Linked DNA regions of Drosophila melanogaster. The protein of the gene in region 1 interacts with the protein of each later gene in a pairwise test. Each region holds a gene or a part of one and is shown in the gene's direction. Other genes may lie near its edges.

Evidence for each region.
Region 2: the proteins of CG16853 (region 1) and CG12994 interact in a two-hybrid assay, tested with the Drosophila melanogaster proteins (one large-scale study listed by BioGRID).

Annotation. Positions count from the first base shown.
Region 1 is NT_033779.5:13,540,368-13,544,221, forward strand, and holds CG16853 (uncharacterized protein), read left to right. Parts: upstream 1-2,101; 5' UTR 2,102-2,284; coding exon 2,285-3,190; 3' UTR 3,191-3,193; downstream 3,194-3,854. Other genes in the region: CG16852 (uncharacterized protein), read left to right, coding at 433-697, 759-1,207; CG9263 (uncharacterized protein), read right to left, coding at 1,308-1,624, 1,813-2,101.
Region 2 is NC_004354.4:17,440,845-17,445,969, reverse strand, and holds the start of CG12994 (uncharacterized protein), read left to right. Parts: upstream 1-1,975; 5' UTR 1,976-2,162; intron 2,163-5,125.

The DNA of each region.
Region 1 (3,854 bases):
AAGTAAATTCACCAGGCAAGTGAAATCTCAGTTAAGGAGCTACCCTATATTTTGCTTTGGTTCCTAAAATGCACTTATGCAAAATAACATTAGTGCAGTAGACCGTCATAATTGTCATATTAGACAGGAAAATCCATAGACGACAGTCGACCCTGAAGTGTCGATGGACAGCAGCTTCTGGTTTTGCCCGGCCAGACAGGAAAGGAAATTGCTTAATTTAGCGCAAAAATTATCCACTGGCCAACGAGGCTCAATTGCCGGTCTGCCATGGTCGTTTGAGGCAGATGATAAAGCAACCCTTTGCTACGAATTTTTAGCCAGACTGATTTTAAATGACAGAAATGGTAGAAAATAAATTTAACTCACACTCATGATTTTCACACGAAAAACATATTGAATCACAAAGGCAAGGAGCGACTAGAAGAACTCTACATGCTTAGTTCAAAAAGTGACACTTCTGGAGACGATATCTCTATAACTGCACAAGCAGAAAAAAGAGTGGATGATAGCATCAGAGCGCCATCTATTGGCTGGAATGCTGAGCACAAAGATGTTCAGATTCCAAGGGACCAACTAACCCACAGGCAGATCAGCAAGTGCAATTTGTTTGAGGAATACATCAAGCTCCCAAAGAGTGAATATGGACAAACAAGCCGCATGAAGCGATTCCGATCCGAAGAGTTAGCTATTAAGCAAGGTAAGATAAATGTATAATTCCGTTCTTATTGAAGGGCTAACAGCCTTTGATATCTTAACAGAAGATCAAATCGTGGAGCATAGATCATCGAGTCTTTCGCGGCTATCGGATGTCACAATCAAGCCCACCTGCGAGGTGAGTAGTCAGACTTCGTGGACAGCAGCGGACGAGAGTAATATGAATAGCAAGGATTTGGAGGCGAAGCTGGCGGCTGTACGCGGCGGTGGTATCGATCTCGAAACGGACAAGCCCAGCAAGATCCAGCAGCACACGATCCACATCGAGGTGGAGTCGGTGACATCGGCCACGGCTATGCAAAGACCCCCACTGCACCAAAGGATGTGGCAGGTCCTTGTGCAGACGGCGGATACGATTGTCGCATTCGCCTCTATAATCGGCGAGAATTTAACAGTGGCACTCTTCATTGTCCTGTGCCTGTGGTGCCTTTACCTCTTACTAAGCCACTTTTATGGCAACTTGCAGACCAATGTCGGCATGCCGTCCAAATAATTGTAATAAGAATGATTCGTTTTGCACGTGATTGTATGAGTAAAAATGCAGTAAACAGAATTAGCAGAACAGAGTTCCAACCAGCATTGCGCATTCTAATTTATCTCAACATATTGGGTGTGCAACAACACATGATGGCGAGACTACAATATAGTGCCGAAGCGAAATCGGTTAGCATATAGCAAAAACGATCGGCCAGCGGTGGTCGACCTAGTGCATTTGGAATCTGCATGGAAACGGCATCGATGAATATCGTGTGACGTGTCGATTCGCAGGGTGCCAAAGCCGGGGCAAAGTCCACAGGACAAACTCTAATGCGCCGGCGCGGCTGTTCCGTCTGCACGCCGATCGAGTGGATGTCCTTGAGCACATCGCTATCCTTCTTCCTGAAGATCTCAACATCGTCTTCCGAATTTTCTGCGGGTTGATACAGTTATAGTAACTATACTAAATAAATGCGGGTGACATCTGGTTTCACCAAAATGAAACTGTTTATGGATTTATGACAGTAGTGTTATTTTTCAGAGTTTTCAAGGACAACTCCAAGAGACAGTTCCTATCTTTTTTTTATAGATTGGTTTATGCATTATTTTGATATTTTTTACCTTCCGCCAATGCCTTGGACATCCATCCGTACCAATTCCGTTTGTTTGCTCCGCCTAGATTCGATTTTGAATTGGTGCGTACGGTGATCGAGCTGTGTGTTGCAGCCGGATCACTATCTTCCAAATCCTCAAAACATTCGTCGGCTTGAAAGCCCAAAATATCGAAGAGCCGCTGGCAGGTGTTCTTCTGCTCGGACAGTTTGCGGGGCTCGTTAACGGCATCCTGAACCAAATCGCCAATTAGCAAGTTAATGACGATCGCAGTCTGCGGTGGCTCCCTGCACGCCATTAAGTTTACAGCGTCCACAGATCAAATTTGGAAAAGTATCGAAAAATGTCTTACAAGCTACTGAAGTCAACATAATTTCGGCATATACAAAACGATGTTGACAACTATCACACCGGAACTGAATTTATCACTCAAATTTTGTATTAGCTGGTCAAAAAAATTCCCAGTTTTCAACACAACGCAATGGATAATCATATGGATAAGAACGATGAGGACAAGAGGTCGTCATCCCCGGATTCTCAACGTCAAGTTATAATATATATGCCACCCGCCGTTGAACATGGTCATGTTGTGTATCTAAAAGATGCGAATTTAGGCGCCACAGAGACGGAGGCTTCTGCACAACTCGACCCACAGGAGCATCTTTCGAATGCGGATCGGTTGGAGAACAATCGGGTGATTTCAGAGCTGGATGATGAGCCGAGCACGAGTGCTCAGTCCGCAGTTAAGGGTCAGAAATCAGAAGATGATCAGGGTCACCAGACCAAGACAGGTATTTCAAAAATGCCAGGATCTCCTAAGCAGTTGCACAATGTATTGGAAGTAATCTGTCGCTTCTCACGCGAGATTCCTGATGCAATGGAGGGCCGGGAGCAACTCCAGCCGGCAGTGATTGTCCAAATTCCAAAATATCGCGAACTGGGAACCCAGACCGCTGAGTTGCCATCGCAGTCGCAGCGATTGCGTTTGGATCTGACCGACCTGAGACCAGATCCGAATCCACCGCCCTGCGAACGCACGCTGCACACATTCACGATTAGTGGCAACAATCTGCCGGGCAATCCTCGCCAGCTTCGTCAAACGATCTGCGCGCGAATTGGACGCTCCATCTGTGATTTTGTGGCAGCCTTTTGTCTTTGTCTGCAAGTGAACAAGGATTGTGTCTTCTGTCTGGGTTTTTTTGTGGCCTTTGTGATCAGTGCCAGCTTCCTGACTGCCTTCTTCTACCGCACTCTTACCTTCTCCTCGTCGCCGGTGCGAGTGGTGGCCAATCCGGTGAGCGGCACCATGCGCTATGAACTTGCCACACTGCGATTCAACGGAGGGTACTACTACATCTATAATAGCAGCCAACAAAAGCTTCTCTAATCTAATTGGAACTTGAGTTTTATTTTGGTGCGGGTTCTTTAGCTTACATCTTAAATGTGTGATATAATGTTCTGTTAAAAATAGTGATCGAATTCTTATTGAATTTGTAAAAACTTGTATTATAGTTTAATTTTAACAAAGACTTTTTTGTATACGAGTAACACCTTTGGGTATATTCTTGATCAGGATCCCTAGCCGAGTTGATCTAGCCATGTCCGTCCGCATGAACGATATCCTTAGATTTAAAATACATGTTCTGTTTATTTTTAAGCTGCCTCAAACAAAGTCGGGTTGCGAAACTTTGGAAATGCAAGCAAACCGCATGACCAGGTTCAATCAATGGTCTTTCAGCAGTTTTACTGGTTGTCATGGACTCCAAAGTTTGCAGTTCGCTTACGCCGCTGCCGCAATGGTACTGCCTTTCTTCGCCAACTTTTTCTTGATTTTTTTTATATATTTTTTTTTGAGTTTAACTCTAGACAAAAGTCGCTCTGTATAGCGGGTGGCAGAATGGTGCATGAGTGGATGGAGCGAGGATAGACCTTGTCCGGCTTGACTTGACTTGACAATGGGTCACACAAAAAGTCGGCCTCTGGGTACGGGAAATTGGCCACAAAACGTTCGTCGCCTGCTGTGCCAGGAGCAGGGCGGTCGCCAACTTTTT
Region 2 (5,125 bases), on another chromosome or scaffold:
CGACAATTATTACAATATTTATTTATAATTTTTAATTGCTTTTATTTTTCACATCGCTCGCGAATGCCTTTTGTTGCGGTAGTTTTTTGACTCAATTTTTTTTTTCTTGTACCTGTTTTTTGTGTAAAACTTTGCATAAGCAACTAAGCAGGGGCTGGGTTTTCAGGGGGGGGCAGCGGCTATTACTCTTCATTTGTATGCTAGCGGGAGTGTGGGTGTCCGCTTTTTTTTCATTATTTCGGTTCGCTTTTTTGCGGAAAGAAAGTTAGCTGACAAAAAAAAAAAAAAAAAAAAAAAAACTGAGCTGGACATGGGGCAGCCGCCAATTAAATGTTTTGCTTTTGCCGCTTTATCGTTTTTGGCAATAGCGCAACAAGCCATGCGAAGTGTCGTCGAAATGCGACCGAAAACAATAAATAAGCACGAAACAAGCAAAGTCGAGCAAAAAGCGAGCCAACAGCTGCATTTCAATTGAATTTCCAGGCAGTGGGTCCAATATTGTGGCTTCCATGGGGGAGAAATTGCAGCTATTAGTGGCAATCTTGTACGAAAAGTTCGATACAAGTGGTGGAATTTGAAAATTTCATCAAAGTTGCTTAACTGCGACAAGTGGTGGAGTTGCTTGTATTAACTAATATCTACATCTTAACAAAAAAATAAAACTATAAAACTATTATCCAATGCTCTATCAATTTTTCAATCATTTCAATTTGGTAAAAGTTTGTGCGCAAACCTCTTTGAAAAAATATAATTTAAATTAGTTAAAAACTAATGACAAAAGTTGTGTAACTTTACAATTACTGTTAATTACCTAATTTTCCATGCTCTTCCTAATTCCGTATACTTTCTTTGTACTGCCAGCAGCGAGCCAGTTGAGCTGCACTTGTTGCTATGTGACTTGTGACCTGCCGCCACCTCCAGCCAATTAGCCAGTACTCATACGCCCTGTTGCATGCATAAACAGCACTCCAAATCAAAGCCGAGGTTCGGGCCAAACGGACGCCAGAGGAGCAACGGGAAGGAACAATTTTCTGCGGCTTAAGCTCACACTAAAATCCACTGCAAAATAACGGAAGCGAGTTCTCCTGTTTTTACAACATTTTAAAACATAAAATTAAGCCTGAGACTAAATCCACAGTGAATTATAGTAATAGTATTGAATTATAGTATGAACATTCGGTGTTTAAATTGTTAATGCAAAATAAGTATGTTGTAAAAAAAAAGTAAGGAACATAAGTTACATCCAAATATGTCACTGATTTAAATTTTCTTAGGTGTCTATTTTGCCAGTGTATGTACATAAAAAACTCATATGCACAGGTGTGGCAAGCTTGTGCAGGTGCAAATTGAGTTCACCTGAACGTTGACTTTGTGTCAAATGATATCACACGGAGATGTAAGAAGTCACTCAACGGCAGGCGAGGGTGAAGGACCACAAGGACACTGCCGCCTGACCGCCAAATACGGCCGGACACTAGGGTAATTAGCCGGACTTTCCCTGGACAGAGTGGCGGTCAGGTGTCGACTTTATCCAAAAGACAGGACTCAAGTCGACGCCTCGAAACGGTGGTGGACGCAAAATTGGTGTAGCTTCGCGGGTAGCTTACTGTGCGAAAAATGAAATTCCAAACGTGAGTATATTCCAACTTGTTATACAAAAAAAATATAAATATAGAAATGTAATCACAATATAATATTTAAATTAATGGTTTTCGACTTGCCCACGCTCGACTTTTCTGCCCCCGTGTGTGTGTGTGTGTGTGCCCAAACAGCGGGATATCCTGCCACGACTGTGTCCGCCGCTCCCTTGCATCCTTTTTGCGGGGCACTCGCAACTCGGAGATCCGAGATCCGAGTGCTCGGAGCCGAGTTGTACGAACTGCACGGCTTCGGGTGGCAGCATCATTTCCATGTGGCTGTGGCGGCCACCAGTCGCCGGATGGGCGCCTCAGTTCGCTTTTGTGTCGCCTTGTGGCAGGTCGCCTCCGCAGTCGGCTACTTGATATTCGATACCTGGTAGCTGCGCTTCGCCGTCGCTCATACGCCCCGTTGGCCCGGTACGAGAAGCACGCACAGAACGCTAGGAAAGTGCGCCAACTTTCGGGCAAACTGAACTGAATTTGAAAGTGCGGAAGGATAGGCGTTGTCTGGCCTCTTTGGAGGTGAGCGATTGTCATACCCGTTCGATTTATTATTTATAAACAGTGCCTCCGTTTTGCGGCGAAAACACTTTGCATAGTTTAGATGGGCCAAGTCGCCAAAAGCCATTAGCATGAATCTTTCATTTCATTACACTCTATTTTTGCCCTGGTCCAGAAATACGAATTATTGCAACAAAGATTTCCACTCCACATACGGCGTTTTTACGATTTTGTGAGCCCCTCGAGAGTCTTTATCCTTGTTTTCACCAAGTCTTGTCTGAGTTATTTGAACGTTTATCCCACGCGTGGTTAAGTCCTGCCAATGCCTTTGGCTAATACCCGGATACACTTGGCATGGCCATTACTTTGTCATTTAAAAGGGGCCTAGGTTTTGTGACCACAAATCAAAACAGGGGACTTAATAACAAAACATATGAATAGCAATAAAATGGGGATCTTCGGTAATCTAGTAAAGGCTATGAAACATAAATTAACAATATTTTAAGCCACAAAGTACCATTTTAACATGTAAATATTAGTTTTGTGTTACAAAATTAGAAGGTAATGTTATAAATCTATAATATAGTATATCATTAATTTGAAATGCAGGACTTATGCATTTCACATTTCTACATTTTAATTTGCAGTAAATGCTGAAGCATACCAACATTATATTAATTATGAGAGCTTAGGGTTATTGTCTCTTACTATTAATTGGTGTACACGTTACTTGATTATATGTCAACAAATATATTCCTTTATTCAAAATGAGCAAACATACTTATTATGAGAGGTAGGAATTGCTTAATGAAAGATTAAAGGCACAATTAATGGAAAATTCTTGGTATTTTAGAGGGATAATATTGTATGAACGGCAAACAAGTGGGAGGAGGGGCTTATACTATCAATGAATGCCAGCAATAATAGTTCCATTGTCACTTTCAATAATGGGAAGGACAATTGCAGGCGGCCCACACGTCGTATACTTAATATTTATGCCACATGGCTGCATTTTCTCATATTCGCACTCACAATTGTCGGGGCTCCGTCAGCGTTTCGGTAATCAGCCAGGTGAATTGCAACGCAGCTAACAATGCACCAGCCACGCCCCCGCGGCCCATTACACCCCATCCACTCCTACTGACTGATTGGCTCCAATGCGAGATGAAAAAGCTGCATAATGTCGATCCAATCATCCGTACCAGCAAGCTAAACGTGTGTGTCAGTCGAAAGGTGGCGGGGACTTGCAGATTGGAAAATGCAGAAGGAGGGTGATCGGAAAATGCTGAAAAACGCAGGAGCAGGCGTTGCCGACATCATGAAAAATTCATGACGCATGCCAAGTGATTCAGGGCGCCACCTGTCGAAACGCATGCATAATTGAAAACTGCATTGGCATCAACTGCAAAATGGCCAACGGCAGATGGAATCTGGGCAAACAGCATCCGTATCACTAGGAAAAGCCTCTATTAAATCATGTATCGCTGCCTTTTACCAGCCCATGTACATATATCAGTTTTTGGGTAAAGGGAAAGCAAAACATAGATCAGTATTATTCTAAACAACAAAGCTGACTTAAGGACAACATTCTTAAAATATTGCCTCAAGAAAAGACAAGAGTAAAACAATATTTCACAAATTGGAGGGTACTAGCACTTCGTTTATTTCGTTCTGAAAATTTTCGTATTGAAAATAAATTAATAAAATCATGAATATCCTTACAGCAATGTGTATGCTAATTTAGGCTGACGTAAAAGCTTACTATTATTCTTTTGTAGAATAACATGAGATACTGCTCGGCTAATATACCCCAAAAGTGTTTATGTACCATGCAATTAATTTGTGCATGTTTATGTTAGTATTAAAAATGCAAACCATATTAATGTTTACATTACGAACAAAGTGATTGCAATATTTTAAGCATTTATTGCTGCATTAATTCGTGCATTCATATGTAATATGATTATTCATATTTATATATTTTATATTATCAAATCCCTTGCTCTTAGCAATCCGCGGTACTGAGAGTGGAATAAATCGAGTGCTATGCAATCCAACTGTCATCTGGACAGCCCTACTCTTCCTACTTGAAAATATATATTTCCCTTTTTAACAACATTCTCTGTTGTTCGGTTGCTAACATAAAAAGTGCATATTGAAGGCAACTGGCTGGCTGGCTGGCTGGCTGGCAATAAATCTAACGATAATTTGATACGCAGCGTTTTACGATGCTTTCGGCGACCCAGTCGCTCGGCAAACCCCTTGGCCATCAGGAGGTTAATGCCCCAAGTCGGTTGTCAGCACTGTAAAGTGGCGGAGCCCTAAGCCCCGCTTCCAAAGCCCAAAGACGAGGGCCCTAAGCCCACAGCTCTAGCTAAGCCAATTAAATTAGACGTCCGACTGTTAACTGTTGCATATCTTTGGGGGCTTCGCTTGGGAATCGTGGGTTAATCGGGGGTTAAGTGAAGGGGTCGCTACTTACAACCAATTGGACGGCGTAATTCCCTAACAAGCAAACAATACGTTTTCAATTTCTGACAGTTGGCACAAATCATTTATTTAGTTTAATGGGCTAATTTACATTTCGAAAAATATTACCAATTAAAAATGAAGTGATTTTATTATTTAACTTTCTAAAATATTCTCAAAAAGCTAGTTATTTAGATATCCAAATACATTTGCGAGCTTGTAACTTTTTAGTTCCGAGTGCGTGACGAATTCCATAGAGAATGTGTCACTGTCAATGGAAATCACTTAAATCCGTTGGGAATTACTGCGCAAGAGGTTGCATGCAATTTTCGTCAAACTTTCTAATAATTTACAAATTATTTGGACTTCTTCAACTGCATTTCAATAGTGCTTGGTGAATTTGAGTAATTTGCAAGTTTTTCATAGAGAGAAATCTTTAGTTGATTGAAGTTTCCGCGAGGGGCAAGTCACCTTGTTCCGCATTTTCCGCATCCCTTTCCCCTTTTCTTTTTCTT